Nothobranchius furzeri: one gene and its partner. The main gene of each other region encodes a partner of the protein of the gene in region 2 in a complex. Links are inferred from orthologs where the notes say so. Each region holds a gene or a part of one and is shown on either strand. Other genes may lie near its edges.

What was found.
Region 1: the proteins of cep152 (region 2) and cep63 are in contact, whole or in part, in a crystal structure (PDB 6CSU), measured with the Homo sapiens proteins. The link is inferred for Nothobranchius furzeri from reciprocal best matches to the Homo sapiens genes CEP152 and CEP63. Residues at the interface, in NP_001181927.1 of Homo sapiens: Gly1261, Ala1262, Glu1265, Leu1266, Gln1269, Tyr1270, Lys1272, Ala1273, Lys1276, Ile1277, Asp1280, Met1281, Tyr1284, Glu1287, Ser1288, Arg1291, Ala1292, Met1295, Ala1298, Arg1302; in NP_001340037.1 of Homo sapiens: Phe666, Glu669, Glu670, Arg673, Ile677, Arg680, Leu681, His684, Glu687, Leu688, Glu691, Ser692, Thr695, Phe699.

What each region holds. Positions count from the first base shown.
Region 1 is NC_091756.1:60,717,627-60,726,168, reverse strand, and holds the end of cep63 (centrosomal protein of 63 kDa), read right to left. Parts: intron 7,748-8,542; coding exon 7,652-7,747; intron 7,573-7,651; coding exon 7,483-7,572; intron 7,414-7,482; coding exon 7,309-7,413; intron 7,198-7,308; coding exon 7,024-7,197; intron 6,698-7,023; coding exon 6,552-6,697; intron 6,426-6,551; coding exon 6,282-6,425; intron 6,186-6,281; coding exon 6,083-6,185; intron 6,008-6,082; coding exon 5,846-6,007; intron 5,601-5,845; coding exon 5,514-5,600; intron 4,707-5,513; coding exon 4,504-4,706; intron 4,434-4,503; coding exon 4,196-4,433; intron 4,112-4,195; coding exon 3,899-4,111; 3' UTR 3,723-3,898; downstream 1-3,722. Other genes in the region: uncharacterized protein, read left to right, coding at 2,019-2,102, 2,448-2,716, 2,800-3,046. UniProt on the Homo sapiens protein: Required for normal spindle assembly.
Region 2 is NC_091744.1:64,197,658-64,206,881, reverse strand, and holds the start of cep152 (centrosomal protein of 152 kDa), read right to left. Parts: upstream 6,052-9,224; 5' UTR 5,710-6,051; intron 5,429-5,709; 5' UTR 5,419-5,428; coding exon 5,332-5,418; intron 3,034-5,331; coding exon 2,924-3,033; intron 2,832-2,923; coding exon 2,771-2,831; intron 2,680-2,770; coding exon 2,395-2,679; intron 1,876-2,394; coding exon 1,719-1,875; intron 1,328-1,718; coding exon 1,187-1,327; intron 965-1,186; coding exon 825-964; intron 713-824; coding exon 512-712; intron 426-511; coding exon 278-425; intron 195-277; coding exon 103-194; intron 13-102; coding exon 1-12. UniProt on the Homo sapiens protein: Necessary for centrosome duplication; the function also seems to involve CEP63, CDK5RAP2 and WDR62 through a stepwise assembled complex at the centrosome that recruits CDK2 required for centriole duplication.

The DNA of each region.
Region 1 (8,542 bases), on a different chromosome or scaffold from region 2:
GTAAATCTCTCTGCTTAAGTCAGAAGCTCTCTATAGTTGTTATGTTTGGGACATTGGTCCATCTCCCCATCAGCTGCCACATGCTGCTGAATCTCCACAGAGCTCACATGTTGAGCCCCGCTCTGGGTTTCCTACCATTGACCTTGAGCCTGTGTGACCTGAGTTTAAGTCCTGGACTATTGTAGGCCGCACTTCTGTTTTCGTGGCACCTATGCCACTTAGGGCAAACCTGCCAGCCTTCCAGACTATATCTATGACAGAGCTAGAGGAACTCATTTCTAAGCAAAAACCTTCTGGTTCCCCTTATGATGCTCTTCCCCCAAGGATGCTTACGAAGGCTTTTTCTGTTCTGGCCCCTTATGTACTGGTTATCTTAAATACCAGTCTGGCCTCTTGAGTGGTTCCCCTTACTTTTAAGAGGGTTGTTGTACGACCACTGCTGAAAAAGAAGGGGATGGAAGAAACTGTGTTAGCCAATTACAGACCTATCTCTCATCTACCTTACTTATCCAAGCTGCTTGAGAGGGTTGTATATTTACAGCTGGTTGCATTTTTAGACACTCACAAACTCTGGGAGAGCTTTCAGTCAGGGTTCAGAGCAGGTCACAGTACAGAGACTGCACTTTTAATGGTTCTTAATGATGTTTTTTAGCTTGTGACGAGGGGGATGCTAGATTTGTCTGCGGCCTGACACGGTCGATCATGACATACTTTTGGATCGGCTACAACACTGGGCGGGAATTACCGGTGCAGCCCTTCAATGGCTACACTCCTACTTATCTGACAGGAGTTTTTGTGTCAGTGTAGGTGAAACCTCCTCGACCTGGAAGGGGCTCAAGTGGGGTGTGCCACAGGGGTCTGTACTGGGTCCGCTTCTTTTTGCCATCTACTTACTACCGTTGAGGGAATCTTCTTCTGCGGTTCGGCATGCGTTTTCATTTTTATGCTGACGACTGTCAGATCTACCTTCCCCTTCAGCGGGGGGTCGATGGGTCAATATCAAAGCTTGTAGATGCCTTAGAGGATGTGCACTCCTGGATGGCAACAAACTTTTTACATCTGAATGATGCTAAGACTGAAGTAATTGTACTTAGCCCTGGCATGTCTACACGCCCATACGATGCTGTGAATCTGGGCCCTTTAGCATCTAACGTGAAGACCACCATCCGAAATTTGGGAGTGCAACAGGACTCAGCCCTTAAATTTGACGCGCAAATCAACCAGGTTGTGCGATCGTGTTTTTTTTTTTTTACTTACGCCGCCTAGCCAGAATTAAGCCCCTGCTGTCCAGAGTACATCTAGAGACTGTCACACAGGCTTTTGTTCTTTCAAGGCTCGACTACTGCAATGCACTGTATGCCGGCTTTACTCAGGGTGCGGTAGCACGCTTGCAGTTAGTACAAAACTCAGCCGCTAGGTTTGTGACAGGCACTAGGCGCAGGGAACATATCACCCCTGTGTTGGCATCCCTTCATTGGCTGCCTGTGCAATACAGGGCAAAATTCAAGGTCTTGGTACTGACATACAAGGCCTTACAAGGAACTGCTCCAGCATATCTTGGCAACCTTTTGCATAGACACGCCCCCTCGCAGGCCCATCGCTCAGCCGGCAGGGAGCTGTTGATGGTTCCACGCACTAAGTACAGGTCACGGGGGGACCATGCATTCTCCGTGTTGGCACCTGCACTTTGGAACCAGTTGCCTTTGGTGGTGCGTCAGTCACCCTCATTGGGGGGTTTTTAAGACTCGCCTTAAGACCCATTTTTTTGTCGAGGCATTCCAGGATTAGCAAATTTTACCCGGTTTCGACGCCCCGGCCTCTTAATCTTTTCCAGGATTTTATTTTTTGCTTTTACTCTCCTCTTTTAATTGATTTTGTGTTGGTTTTACGATTGTTATATTTTATTCTGATGGTTTTATGTTTTTATTGTGTTGTGTTCAGTACCTTGGGTGTCTGCATTGGTTGCAGAAGGGGCTTTATAAATAAATGAAATGAAATGACTCTCCCCCCTCATCCAGCCTCTGGGATCAGGTCCCCAGCTGGTCCAGGAGTCTTATGACACGGAACCCATAGATGTGGATGTTTGGGATGAACAGCAGAAGGTACAAGTAGAGGGCTAAATCAAACCCTAACCACTAGATATGGACATTTAGAAAGAGCTGGACCCATCATTTGAAACTTTATTGATCCGCATGTTTCCAACAGTAGCTACAGAATTTTATTTTCCTTTCAGATACGCTGTTTTTGTTTTCGTCCATCAGGGTTTATGAAGTTGTAAAGTTGGAACTTGTTTTAGATGAAAACTTAACTTTGTGGCAAGAATGAGTTTTCAGATGAACCTCAGTGAAAGTGAGACATTTATGAGAATTAAAGTAATGCTGTGGTGGGGCCTATGCCCGCCTGTCTCATGTCTTTTGCATCATGTAAGACATAATTCTGTCCAACAGCAGTCCCTTGCTGCTGAGATTCCCACTCTTCGGCCCCTCAACTCCTGTCCCTCCACACCTGCTCCGGACTTTCTCCTCCCCCTTGGTTTAAAGCCAGGACCCCAGCCTTCCTTTTCCACCTCAGACCTCCAGACCTGGAGTTTGGGATCCAACCCTGATCGTGTCCAGCAGGATGCAGTCCCAGGATGGGACTCGCCCCTTCGGTTCCATGGCTATCCTATTGAAGAGTACCAAGCTATTTACCACTCTGTGGTAGATCCCATGCTGAGGCATGTTATAAAATTTATGATTAGCTCAGAATTTATTCTAAACAATTTATGACTTTCATCCTTAAAACTGTTTTCTCTATTAGAAAAAGAAATGGCAAACGTCGTAAATACAGCCAGAAGTTGGGAAGACAAATAAAAAAGAGACTTTCGAAAAGACTGAGCCATCCGCAGCTGAAGGTGAGAGAGACAGTGGGTGGACTCCTTCTGATTGAAGAGTCTAAAGCGGTGGCAAAGCTACCACATCTGGATGTTTCTGATGAACCAAAAGTGAATGTACCAAACTGCAGCGACACCCAACCAACAGCTGAAACATCAGCAGCCGCAGTTTGAAACCCAGTGTTGTTTTAATAAAATTACTTTTTTCTTTGAGCATATGGAGACAAATCACTCTTCTGCATGTTTCACACAAATACATATTTATAAGCCTCTAAAAACACAGAAAACATAGTTTTAAGTGAGAAGAACTCAAGTTTGGTTTTTCAGCGTGTCCTTTCTGAAGCATTAACATTTCTAAATATATTCATGCAGAAGAGACTGAAAGTAGAGACAGCTTGTGACTTTTAGAAGGAATTAAACTTTTATTTTAATGCATTTACATAAAAGCCCTCACCTGGTTTGGTTTATTATTAAATCTTCTGTTTAGTCTCTAACGCGTACAATCACTACCTTCAATAAAATTAATAGATGTGGAAAAAATGGGTGGTGCCGTTTAAGAATAAATAAACTAAACAAAGGTCATTAAAACAATCTAAAGGACACACACACACACACACACACACACACACACACACACACACACACACACACACACACACACACACACACACACTTAAACCACCCAAAGGAAATCTGATTTTTTAAATTGTTTCTCAGCAGAATAATTTATAATACATATATTTACAGACATAAGGGACATTCCAGTCATCTGTCTTGGACTGATGAAGAAAAATGTCCGTTCCAGTTTTGTTTCTTTAGTTAGTTCAGCACTAATAAACTATAGCAATGATTATTTGTTCAATACATTTATTTTATGGTTGGTTCAAAGTAAATATGCTGATGAAGGAAGACCAAAGGAGTCAAAAACACATTCATGTAGACAAAGTTAATCAGACCAGACGCTCGGTCCGCTCTGGCTGATGAAGATGTGAAGTTAAAACACTTTGCAGTGATTCGTTACCAACGTTAGAGCTGAGGAGTTGAATGACTCTGCTCTGATGTTGGCTCAGCCTCAGGCCCCGAGCCACCGGCCAGATATCTGGACACCGTTCTGGTATTGTGCTCTCTCATCCCCAGGATGTGATGGTCCAGCCTCTGCAGCAGCTCCTCGGACCGTAAGCTCTCGTCCTCTAAGAAACGAGTGACCATGCCGCGTGCAGACGACACTGATGAAGGATCCTGGGAGGAAAAACAAACATCTGCAGAAGTCCTGGCAGAAGAACTGTACATTATGGACTTTTATCATAAAACACGCGGCCTCACTTTGTCTTTGAATCCTGGTGTCACGGAGCCTTCTGAGCCTGAGCTTTGGCCCTCAGCAGCAGATTCATTGAGACTTAATGCTGTCACCGAGTTCCTCCTGGTCAGTCTGGTGCTGATGCTGGAGGAAGAGGAGGAGGAGGAATGGTCTCCATGCCTTGTAGGGGACAGCATCTGCAGCTCTCTGAAGAGCCTCTGGATTTCTCCCTCACAGCTCTGGGCTTTATCCTGCACCTGAGGCCTGCAAAACAGGGTTTCATCATCAGTTCTGGAACAGCTTGGACTGGTACCCATTTGGACATGCCACCTACCCGTCCTGGTCCTGCTGTGGCTGCTCAGAGATGGCGTGGCTGAGCAGAGCGCTCTCATACTTCTCCCGATGTGTCTGATTTGAGCTGTCACGCTGTGACTGCTCCTTGGCGAGAACCTTCTTTAACTGATTATTTTCCTGTTCCAGGCTCCTCAAGGAGGGCTTGAGGCTCTCCTTCAGAGAATCTGGGAAGGAACCCCCCCTCTGGGGAGAGACAAGAGACACACAGGCAGGAGTCACGTTTGATGGTCCCTAGCTGCTGCTGCTGCTTTTAAAGCTGGGAGGACACTGTGCGACTTTTTCACTCGTAGCACTCAGCTTCAGCTCACACTGCACGACTTCATCGCAGGGCAGATCTCACGAGTCGTGTGCTCACACTGAACGTCTGGTAGCAACACGGCCCTAAAAATATGCTAAAAATAGCAGTTTTTACACAACATGTGACACTTTTTTGTCTCGTCTTGCCTGTTGTCCTTCGGGAGCGCTGCAGGAGGACACACAGGGATTTATGGGGTTGGATGAGGAAAACGAAATAAAGAAAGTAAATCTGTGTTTTGTGATCAGTTTAATTTGACACGAACACGACAAACACGCTTTCTTGACAATCTTTGTGAGTGAAAAAACGTGTAGAAATAAAAACGAACAGCGTGTGTTATTAGGGAAATAGCGGGCGAGCGGTGTTGATGCAGGATTGCGCATGCACCGTGAGCGGTTCTGGTAGTTTTTGGGTCGCAGCTGCTCGCAGCGCCGCTTCAACAGTGCGATACCCTCACGAGGGACGAGCGAAATATCAAACACGCCAGAAGTCCGTGCGAGCTCACGACTGCTGATCGGCAGCTGGTCACGTGGTGTTAATCGCCTCTCGTAACCCCCTGTACACTACACGACGCTCAGCGCAAGACTCGCCCCGATGTCGTGGATTCTCGCACGAGTGGAAAATCGGCTCAAAAAAGGGAAAAAGTCGCACAGCGTACGCCCGGCTTAAGGTTGTGTGGTGGATATCAGACAGACCTTGGGTGAGGGAGGCTCCAGTCGCTGCAGCAGACCTTTCAGATGCTGGTTCTCAGCTTGTAAAGTCTCCAGCTGTGCCTGAGTCACCTGAGAAAGGAAAACATTTCTGATTCAGGACTATCGTGTGGGGATCAGACCTGCTGCTATACTTCCAAAAGCAGGTTTAGATGTAACTAGTTATCTGAGGGCTAATGTGAGCGGGGACGTTGACCAACACATATCCAGCACACACGCCTGTAACAGGATCTCACTGCTCACAACGGAGGAGGACATTTACAGTCTCATGTAAATCTTGGGACTCCACATTTTCCACAATTGTTCCAGAGCCCCACCTCGCCTCGGAGCTGCTGCCTGACGCTAGGCAAGGGTCCGCTCAGAGCAGCGATGGGGAGGTCACGTTGATACAGCTCACTCGTCAACTTTGACACCTCCTCTTTCGTTCCCTCAGCTTCGCCACTGTGAGTCTGCCTGGTCCTCTGGAGCTCCTCTTTGAGCTGAAGAACACACCCAGAGATGAGAAACAGAAGCTGAAACTGTTAAACGTCACTCATCAGGTCAGAGTCCCTAACCTTCTTGATCTCTGTGACAGAGGAGTCACAGTGCACTTTCACATTTTTCAGTTCCTGCTCCATCTTTGAAGCGTTGTCCTGCTGTCTGCTCATGTTCTCCAACCTGAGCCCAAACGAGGAAAACGAGCAGGTAGAAACATTCAGAGCTCAGAATAAACCCGGCTTGGTTTGATTGGGTGAGCGTGAAAGCAGCAGCCACCTTTCTCTGACACAGGAGAGCTCCGCCTTCAGCTGGAGCTCACAGACCTGAGCACTCTGAAGCTTGGCTGTAGTCCTCTCCAGAGCCTTCCTGAGAGTTTCCACACCGGCACAGCCCTGAGCTGACAGACAGTCCTCCAGAGAGCTGCAGACACAACAACACGCTCACATGCATAACGAAAGCAGAACCAGAACCGGGAAAGCCAGTAGGGAACGCCACCCTTGCAACATGCCACTGTAATGACATGACTACCATCAGAGATGCACCCACCGGATGACTTGATCTTTAGCTTGCAGCACTTGCGTGAGTCGAGCAGCTTCCTCACACAATCTCTGCTGCTCAAGACCGGCTCTGAGCATAAACGCATCCCGGGAGTCTAGCACGGCGTGGAGGTTGTCTCGTTGCCCCGACGGCAACTGTGGAGCAGCAGATTCCTAGCTCATTAGAGCTCATTTCAACATGGACGCCTGAAGTGATCAGCTCTTTCAATTAATTTGTTTGACTTTTTTTTTCTTTCAGCTCAAGTATTTACGGCTCTTTTCCTGCAGCTTTAATGACGTGATTGGATGGAAGCTGTAATAAAAGCCTAAATGAAATTCGTCCAAACTTTAGAAGACCTTTGGAGTCCAAACAGTGAGACTTTTATCTCCAGAGTTGTTACAAACACCTGGAATCTGATGGAAGATGTTTGGTATCCAGCTGAGAAGCCACACATCTCACATGTTCCTGTCGCCCTGCTAACCTGCTGCTCTCTCTGGGACTGTCCCAACAGCACCTCCAGCGGTCTGAGGCGATCCAGTTCCAGTTCCTGTGAGTGCAGGCTGGCCTGAGCCTTCTCCAGCTGTGCACGCAGATGCTGCACCTCTGAACAGCACTCCTTGTGTTCCCTCTCCACCCGCCCCGATGCCCATTGGCTCTGGAAAAACAAATATTACTGAAATGCAACAACAATGCAGCAGTCTTCCACACTTTTATACACTAAATATGTCTGGCTTCCTGAGTGAAAGTCATAAATGTGCTTTTTAACCTTTAAGTGAGCAAGCTCCTGGTTCAGGCTTTTATTCTGGAGCTCCAGTGTGGTCAGCTGGTTTTGGTACCGAGTTCGCTGCTGCTCAGAGCGCTGCTGATGCTTCTGCACCAATGTAAGAACGATTAATCAAATTCCAGGAGATGGAAATGCCAGGAAAATCTATTAGTTCACCTTTGCAAGCTCAGTCTCCTTTCCACCTCCACTTGTCTCCTTAAGCTGTTTGCGATGAAGCTTCTGGTAACTTCTCTTCAACTTGTCCAACTATAAGAAACGATGTTAACAATAAACATGATACAAGCGATATAGCTGAGTGCATTTGAGGAAAAACAGATGATCACACCTCTTCACGGAGTCTCTTTAGTTGTTGTTCGTACTTGGATACCAACTCTTGCCGATCCGTCTGAACGGCTTCAAGCTGCTTGTGAAGAAGTCCAATCTGCAACAAATACATGAGGCATAATACTTCTGTTTTTATGTGTTTTTTAGATGCCTCTAAGGCCTTTGACAGAGTCAATCATCAGAAATTATTCATCAAGCTACAAAACAGAGGGGTCCCTTCTTACCTAGTTAGGATTTTGCACTTCTGGTACTCTCATCAACTGATGCAGGTAAAGTGGGGGACAGAAGTGTCTGAACCTTTCTCCGTATCAAATGGAGTCAGACAAGGCGGGATTCTGTCACCTGTCCTTTTTAACCTGTACCTTGACGAGTTGTCTGTTACTCTGAATGCTAGTAAGACTGGATGCTTGGTGGGTGACCGACTGGTAAATCATTTAATATATGCAGATGACCTAGTCCTCATGTCTCCCTATAGCGCAGGCCTGCAGCAGCTGCTCAGGGCATGTGCTAAGTATGGTGAGCAATTTGACATCCTGTTTAACCCTAAAAAGAGTGTGGTTATGATTGCTGCTACTAAAGGGGACCTGAAGCTTAATTTTCCATCTTTTAACTTAACAAATCAGGTCCTGGAAGTGGTAAGCAAAGTAAAATATTTGGGGCACATTTTAAGAAGTGACCTCTGTGATGACGAGGACATTAAGAGGCAGTGTGGTAAGCTGTACATGCAGGCTAACACTCTGGCACGTAACTTTGGCATGTGCTCAGATCCTGTAAAAGTGTCCCTCTTTCGTTCCTTTTGTACTCCTCTCTATACCGCCCACTTGTGGTGCAACTATAGTAAGGTAGTAATGAAGAAGCTTCAAGTGGCTTATCAGGATGCTTTTAGAATCCT
Region 2 (9,224 bases):
TGCTAGATCCTCCTTAAACAACAAATATAGAACAGATTAAAGTGTTTAATTTGAACAACCAGGTTTGTTCTCTTCTACAGAACAAAAACAAAAAGTACAAACCTGTAAAACTTTGCTCATGTTTTCACTCAGGGCCTTGGCGGCCTGAGCTTGCTGCAGTTTAATCTGCATTTGACTCATCTCTTGGACCGTATCTGAAATAAACGTAGGTGAAAGCTGTTTAAAGGTGAGCAGAAAAGAAGGAGTGCATGAAGAATAAGTGGAGCTCCTCACTCACTCGTCTGCAGCAGCTTGGCACACTGGTGCTGACTCTCCTCCAGGCGCTGAGACAAGGAGTTGACTACTTTGGCTCTCTCCAGATGCTCTTCTTCTCTCTGCCGTTCCAACAGCTTCACTTGCTCTCGTAGCTTCTGGCCAACATCAAACTGGAAACAACACAGAAGCTGAATAGACCGACTTTCACCCCCCACCAGTTCACCCCCACCATTTTTCTGTTTCCGTCTGACGACACCTGTTCGCTCAGCGCTTGGGAGGTAGAGTCTAGTTTCTGCTGTAAAGCCAACAGCGCCACCTCGTGCTGCTCCTTCATAACGGCGAGGTCTCGGTCGTGCTGCTCTCGTGATTTGGACAGGGTGTCGGAGCGGCACAGCTCCAGCATCTGCTGCTTCATGCTGTCCACAGCAGCATCAGCCAGCCTCTGCTTCTTAAGGTTCTGCAAACAAAGACAACCCACTTTGTCCTAAAGCCGTCTTTAAATGTTATAAATTAGGAATAAAATGTATAAACTTGGATTGAGACGGTGGTACTGAGGGTGAAGCGCTAACCTCCTGGTCTCTCTCTCTGAGGAGCTGAACTTGCTGCTCTACAGCCTGAAGCTTGTGCTGCATTTGAACCTCTCGTTCCTTCGCGTCTTCGACCAGTCGACTGGACTCCTTGTAGCTCACCGTTAGGCCGTCCTTCTCATCTATTCACAAATTTAATTTTTTATTAATTGACCATTTAATTTTTAAAAATGTCACAGATTGATCTAATCTTGAGTGAATCCTGTAGTCAATTCAGTTCAGGTACAAAAACATTTGTATTCAGCAGAATAAACTGTTTTAATGCGTGTAAAAACGTAACATGATCAGCCAACAAATGCTAAAAGGACACATCCTTGTTGTGATGCTGAGGCTGTGAGACACACCTTTGACTATTGCAAACTGATGCTCCAGATATCTCATGTTACGCCGGGAATCCTCCAGCTTCCGCTCCAAATCTTCAATCTGCCTCTGCTGAGCTTTGTTTAAAATCTGAAGTTGGGTGCTTCGCTCCCTGTCGGCGTTTTCTGGAAACACACCGATCATCTGTCACTTACTTCTGAGAAGTATATGGAGACTTTCTTCAAGGTTGTACACTGGTTTTGATGGTTGACTGACTGATAGTTTTAATTAACAGGTGAGATGTTTCTGGGTAAAGTTTCTATTATACATGTCAGCCAAAATCAAACCACTTTGATTTAATTTGTTAGAAAAAACATCCATTTATCTTTGACTTTACATACCTAGCCTTGCTTTTCATGAGTTAGCGTCAAAATCAATCATCAAATATTTACCATTTGCTGTTGATAAATCTACACTTTTACAGCTTTGTGAAGTCTGGACCAGGTTAAAGGCAGCAGCAGTAATTGTGAGTTTTATACCTCAGAGTTTAAAATCAGAAAACAAATAAAGACTCACGTTGTGTTGAATCGAGGAATTCCCTCTGTAGGAGGCCAAACTGGTCTTGCTGAGCAGCTTGAGAGTGAAACACCTTGGGCTGGTGGACAGCATGATGAGGCTTATAACGAACCTGGTGCTGGTTGGAACCTTGATCGTTCACTTCAGAGTTCACATTCTGACAGTAAAGAAACACAGTGTCAGGTAAAGACGTTCGAAAACTAAATTAAAGTTTAATAATCTGAAATTATTTTGACTTAAATCAGAATAGCTGATTGTTGTTATGGTTGTTTTGTTTGTTTTAAACACTGTTAGCTTAAAAACAGATTGCTGTACAAAGTGACTTAAATAAAAACTACACAAACTTAATGACTGATTGTTTTTATAGCACCCAAAACCACACGGTAGAAGAATAAATACAATGTCAGAACAATTCTCGTTCGATTGGACTCTAAGCTTATCCTACACCTCTAGTGGATCCCGTGAGCTGAAGCAGAGATACATGAATTGATTTGCTGGTACTGTACTGTCAATGTTTTCCTTTTATGACACATTTCAGCTCTGCTGCTGCCGTCCTGAACTGGTTACTCAGGGCATCCATGTAGAAACAGATCAATAATACATCACGTTTTAAACTTCCTGATTCTAGGAGAACCGCTGAAGATCAGTGGTTACACTGATGCAGGCGCTCACTCACTTGAAACTGGTGTCTGGTGTTTTGAACCTCGTGGTTGAGTTCCCTCCTGTAGCCTTCTTCTCCTTTAAAGTTCACATGGTTGTCGGAGCCTTCAGGGAACGGCTGTGCCTCAGACCCAGTAGAAAAATCGCTATTCTCTGTGCATTTATCCGAGCCGACGCTTGTGCACGGATACCTCTCCTGTGCAAATGGATGATTTTGATTCCAGGTGTGAGGGAGCAGGTTTCCATCATCTTCATAGGCATACTGGTCATGAGAGGCTTGATCAAAGTCAACGTCATAGATCTAAAAAAAAAAAAAAACCATATACAAAAACAAATGTATTATGTTTTCTTCTCTTCTAGGAATCAGTTCTGAACAAAAAGATACTCTCTACCTGAGCATGAGAGGGCGGATGTGCATGATCGGACCATTCTTGAGTCCACTTACACTGTGGGCTGAGAGGAAAAGGCAACATGAAGTCACTTTGTTGCAGTGCAGATTTTCTGGGTGTTTTAATCTACGCCGTGTCACCGGCGACGTGTGCTACCTGCTGCTGGCGTTTTGATTGCTGCAGTTGGAGCACTCCAGCTCCGGAGAGGAGGAGTCTCTGCTGTCCTCCAGCATGTCATCCGGCAGGTCCGTGAGCAGCTTGTGCAGCTGCAGAGAAAGCAGCACATGGAAATGACTCACTGAGGTTGCTACGCAACAGAGTTATGAAATGACATGCAGCAAAAAATAACACAGAGTAGCAATGAGTGAGATGAAGAAGGAAAAAGGTCAGTGGTGTAAAACATTCGAAATAAAAAGTGGCTATATTTGAGTTTTCAAACAACATTATGGTTTAATTGTATTGGTCAGGATGTGGCTCAATGTGGATTAGATGTTTTGTGTACTTTTTACAGCAATTATGTAATGATTAAGTTAATAATCAAATTGTAACAAGGAATTTATCCAAAAACTTTTAAAATAATCTCAGGCTAATTAAACTCCAATGCAAATATTATTTTATAAATATCATTAATTGTTTAGAGTTTTTTCCACAGCTTTTAAACATGTAAGCTTCACAACAACAGCAAGACAAGGCCATGTAAGAGACGGACTGCTGGACTTACTTCCCACAAGGACTGCTGAATATTCCTCAGATCCTCCACAGTGTCCAGGACTGAAGGACCCATTTTTACCACACTAACACATCTACCAGGAACATAAAACGCGGCTCGGCTCTCCAGATAACCACTAATATATCCTAATCACTCTGCTGAGATGACCTTATGTGAGAAACATTCAGAGCATGCCTTGCATGTTATTGGCTCCCTGTGACATTGCTGCTTTCGCTCCCAAAGAACTCCATTGTTAAAAGAAAAAAAAAACATATAGCAAGGCTAACTGGAGCAGAAACATTCCAATTACTGGTGGCAAGCATTTTCCACTTGACCAGTTTGTTTAGTAAGTTGTAAAAAAATAAAATACAAAAAGTTCATGGAAAAAGTCTAAATTTGCTCCTTTCTGCTGTACACCTGGTGAGTTGCTCAGCAATCACTTCTCCAGTCTTAACCAAGCTGAAATGGGGAGAGGAGCAGAGACGAAGAGAGGGAAGGCCACAGGGCAGAGCTAGTTTCAGCATGACACACCTGGAGGGAGCCAATAACAACAACTCACACTCATGACACAATCGACTGGAAACGTGATTAACCAAGTAGATGTTTCACCATGTGAAGCTGTCAGTGACTGACATTCAAATGAAACACACACCATGATCTCAAACCACCTGTTAGAATTGCTAATATTATATATTAAATATCTCATAAAAATAAAACGGCAAACATTCTGAATTAATACAAGCTTTTTTCCCCAGCATAAAATATATATGCTCTTGTCATTTGGTTATAATAAATGAGAATGTTTGACCAAACATAAACGTGTGTCGTGTGTGTGTGTCTATGTGTGTGTGTGTGTGCGTTTTCCATTCAGAACTTGGATTTTTCTCTAACGAATGTATTTATTTATTTTTTAACAAACATCTGATTTACAAATAATTAAGGCAGCAAAATGTTTCTAAAGTGAAATAATTAACTAGTGTTAAACTAAACAATCTTAAATCGGATTTTAGGCACTTTGATAAACACATCATGTCAAATAGGCACAATTTGCCCTAACTTGTTGAGACAAATCTATTAAAAGCACCAAAATAACACATGATATAGTGTTGTAGCAACAACAAAGTAATTCCATAAGAGCTTTGAGCTGAAAAGCTTTCATATAGAAGAGGATCAGTCCAAGGATTACGCATGACTCAGGTCCTGTTTAAAGAGCAAGTCACCCCCAAATCAACTTTTTTTTTGCTGATAAACTAAATAAACGAGTGTCTAATTGTGCTGCAGACACGTGTGGTCAATAATTTGGCACTTCAGTGCATCTTAGTTAAAATTTAAATATTCTGCTTAAAACTGTCAGTGTTGTGCCGTTGTCAGGTAAAAACTCTGCACTGTATTTGAATTTATAACTGCCACCGCTATTGGCTAAGAGGTATGCTATGACGTAAACTGGTACATTATGATGTCACAATGCTGTCGTGAGCCTGTGTGTGTGTGTATTTGTTAGCGGCTCCGCCCTCTCAGTCTGCTAGGCAACGGCATTTGTTGCATTTTTCAAACATGAAGTGGGAGTTGAGTTAGATTTTGGTAGGGGGTGACTTGCTCTTTAAAGTCTGATAGGCTTCTTCCAAATATAAAGCCATTCAGATACTGTTCATCCGTGAGAAATATATTACCATCAGATGCACGGACTGTACAGAAAACAAATGGTTGAAAAAGCAAGAAAACGTTGCAAGAACTCGAGAAAGACTTTAAACTACTTTTAAAGGATTTCAAGAAAATCGGACTCTTGAGAAGCAAATGGTAGTAAGGCTTTTGCACACTTGTGTATATGTGGACACAAACTGCTGCTGTGTTTTACCTCTTGCTCTCTTGCATAGTCTTCCTGGTCATATTCCTCTTCATCATGCTGAGTTTGAAGAGCAGCACTATCAAAATCTATAGACATTGTGTGCTACCTGTTGGGGCAAAAGAGTTATTAGGTTGTTTGTTTCGCGAACATCTGATCAGAAATGAGTTGTTTGATATGGTCATGTATTAAACAACACAATGAGGTCACTAGCATGCATAAATATCGCTTATTGATCGGTTTAAAGATGTTTTTGTTTAGAGGCTCATTTCTAATTCTGAGTAACGTTCATGTTTGCGATCAATTGCTAGCAATGCTGGTGTTTACTACTTAGCTAAACTCAACCCTTCCCTGTCTAGCCTGAAAAAGAAACAAAACACACACATTTACCTGATTAAACTTTCCGTGGCGGATGCATTTCCCTGAAACGTAAACTGTCTAGCCTCAGCGCTTAAAGGTTGCTGACTGCTCGTAAAACTTCGTGGATGAAAAGCTAACTCCGTGGCTATCTCGCTAGCTTCAACTAGCTTCCGCTGAGCAGACTCGGCCACTTTAAAACTCGCGCGCATTAGCAGCGCCAAGCCTCTTTGGCTCTTTGCGACAAAACGTCTTTACACATAAACTGTGTCTAGTCACCAACGCCCCCAGAATTGTGCATTCAAAACGCACTTATCTGTAAAAATTTTAATTAATTTACCAAAACAGACGCGTTACAAATATCTCATTTCTTAACTAGCTAACCACGTCTCCATAGTAACACCTGTCTAGCATTGTGGGTAATGTAGTTGAAGTTTTCCTGTTTCTAAACAAAGTGTTGAAAAGTAAAATGTAGGTAGATTTATCTCCACTACGCCTTTTTACCTGTATAAAACAATAAGTTATACACATGTAATATTTATACATTTGATACAATTCAGATCACCTTCAAAACTCAGTCACACACCCAAGGCCGTTTCAAGACATTTTGGGGGCCAAGGCAAAACAGAACCCTAACCCCCCCCCCCCCCCCCACAACTGGGCTTCCCAGAAGCCTCTGTGTATTCCAGGATTATTAGTTATACAGTGTTTGTAAAAGCCCCTCAGACACCACTGACATGTTCTAATATTATCAGAAGAAAAACTAAATGATCAGACATGCTATCTCATCTGCTTCTTTTCTAAACTCGCAAAAAGTAACAAGACCATTTGAAAGCCACTATTTGTGGATTCTCTGAAAGTTTCCATGGCGTGTGTGACAACTTATTTTTTCATTGACCCTATCGTCTAATCTCACAGTTGAAACAAGCATCCTTAATAATCGTGCACAGGAAGCTTACCAGTGCTGTGGTAAAACAAAAGTTACAATAATTTCTTATTAATAAAACCTTGTTGCAGCACTAAAGCAGAAAAATGAGATTTTGCAATAAATATGCAAAGAATTTACATATGAATAATTTTAGAGCCATTTTATTGGCAGAATCTGATATTAATTTTAGTTCTTACAAAAATATGGGTCCCAACGTGGTTTGTGTGACCTTTGACCCACCTCGTGTGGACTGACCATTGAGGAGAGGGTCTTAAGTTGAGGCTCTCTCTTCATTGGTCAGTCTGCATGAGACTGACTCTCAGCCGCTCTCAACTGACGTTCAAAGTCATTGGCAGCGAAGCGTCTCTGTGCAGCTCAAAAGCCCGGGTGGACAGTTTGTTTAATATAGGGTGACCATATTTCCATTTCCAAAAAAGAGGACAGGGGATCTGTGCCTATGATGTCACACTATGGCAACGCCACACAAACCACGTTGGGACCCATATTTTTGTAAGAACTAAAACCAACAAAGTGTTAATCTGGCCCTGCCTCCTAGTAGATCATTCATAATTTTTTCCTCTTAGTCATTTAGACACAAAAACATTAGAAAATAGGGTCCTGTGTTTTAACTTAACAAGGGAAGAATACTAAAGCTTAAACTGACCATGATTTGGTAAACACATATGCATTCAGATTTGAAGTGAAATAGGTTAGGAATATAATTTTGGCTCTAATCTTGTATTTCTTTTTAAAAGTATGAGTTTTAATAGTGTTTTATTCTCTTATAGACCAGCGCCACAACATTTAAAGAGGGTACATGGCCCAAATTAATACAACAATCAGCGGATACCTATCAGTACCCACTGTGCCACAAGGTGGGGCCAATACCATGCCCTAATACCCCATTTACAAGCACACCAGAAATCTGTAGTTAAATATGGAGGTAAATCCAACCACAGGTATTGATAAGGTTTTGTTAATACCAATGCCATTATCAATTCCCCTTATTGATCTGATTCTTTGTCAATTGTGTTATAAATATGTGGTCAGTGTTTTGTGTGGGGAAACTTAACTGTTCTTTTGTTGTTACTGTTAATCTTTAGGCTTACTATGTACAGTTTGAAGGCTGCATTGCTCTGCACTAGGTCTGCCTTTGTTGGTCAGCATCATATGATATTTGTTGTCTTTTCAACTGGAAATTCTTCCCATCCCTAATTGTAATGCTGCATCCTTATTAGAGATTATCATGAAGCATGGTAATACTTTTAACTGGTATATGTCACCAAACTCATCAATTACACTCCTCACTGCCGAGGCGTCTGATGAACAAGAGGCAGAACTCAACTGTTGGACAGTGCAGCCTTTAGACGGTCTAGCAAGATAAACGATCAACACTGACATGAAAACAGCTTTAAGTTCTTAGAACTAATTTTCTATAAATATTATAGAAAAGATTTTTATCTGTTGTTTACAAAATATTTTCTTGAATTACACATTCATTATCTTCCATATTTTCTTTCTGTCATTCTTTCAGAATATAACCGCCAAGCTGCGGTGGGATGACTCTGCCCTCCGAGCCGTCTTCTTGGAGGGACTGGCGACCTACATCCGTGATGAGATGGCGGGAAAGGAACTGCCCCAGACCCTGGATGAAGTGGTCGATTTGGCGCTGCGCATGGATCAGCGGGTTCTGGTTCGGCCCAAGCCCTTCACTCGCCTATCAAGGGCACCTGGCCCTCTTCCTCGTTCCCCCACGCCTGCTCCCGGACCCGCTTCTACTGATGAGCCCATGCAATCAGGCCACCTTCCTCCAGAGGAGAGACAGCGACGGTGGCGCTAGGGTCTCTGTGCCTATTGTGGCTTCTCCCACCACAGACGCCTGAACTGTCCATTACGTTTGGGAAACGAAGGAACCCACTGAGTATCGGGGTCGCTCAGCCTGGGTCACCTTCAGCCCCCGCCTCTTCAAATCGACTCCTTCTTCATGTTACCCTCCTTCATGGTGAGACCTCACTTCAGATGCACGTGCTGTTGGACTCGGGGGCCGCTGACAATTTTATGGACATGGATCTGGCTAAGCGCCTACGGATCCCCATGACCCCCTTGGAGAGAGTTGTGCCTGTGACCTCGGTGGACGGTAGGCCCCTCCAACCCTATCCGATCCAAAACCGAACCCAGCCACTCCAGATGATTGTCCAAGGCCACCGAGAGACCCTCCAGTTTCTGATCATATGTGCTCCCTCCTCTCCTCTAATCCTGGGATTTCCCTGGCTCCGTCTCCACGACCCCCGGATTTCCTGGTCCCAGGGCCGCATTTTGGAATGGGGGACCCAGTGCCAGGCCCACCTCTCTCCTCCTACATCCATGCCAGACCGCCCGGACGGTGACACTGGCCAAACACCGCCCAATCTGCCACTGCCCTACCGGGACCTGGCTGCGGTGTTCGACAAGCGGCGCGCCACCACACTTCCGCCTCACCGCACGTACGACATGGAAATCAAGCTGCAACTAGGAACCAGTCCACCCCGGGGGCGCCTTTTTTCTCTCTCTCCCGCCGAGTCCAGAGCCATGGAGGAATATATTGACCAGGCCCTCCAGCAGGGTTTCATTCGACCTTCCT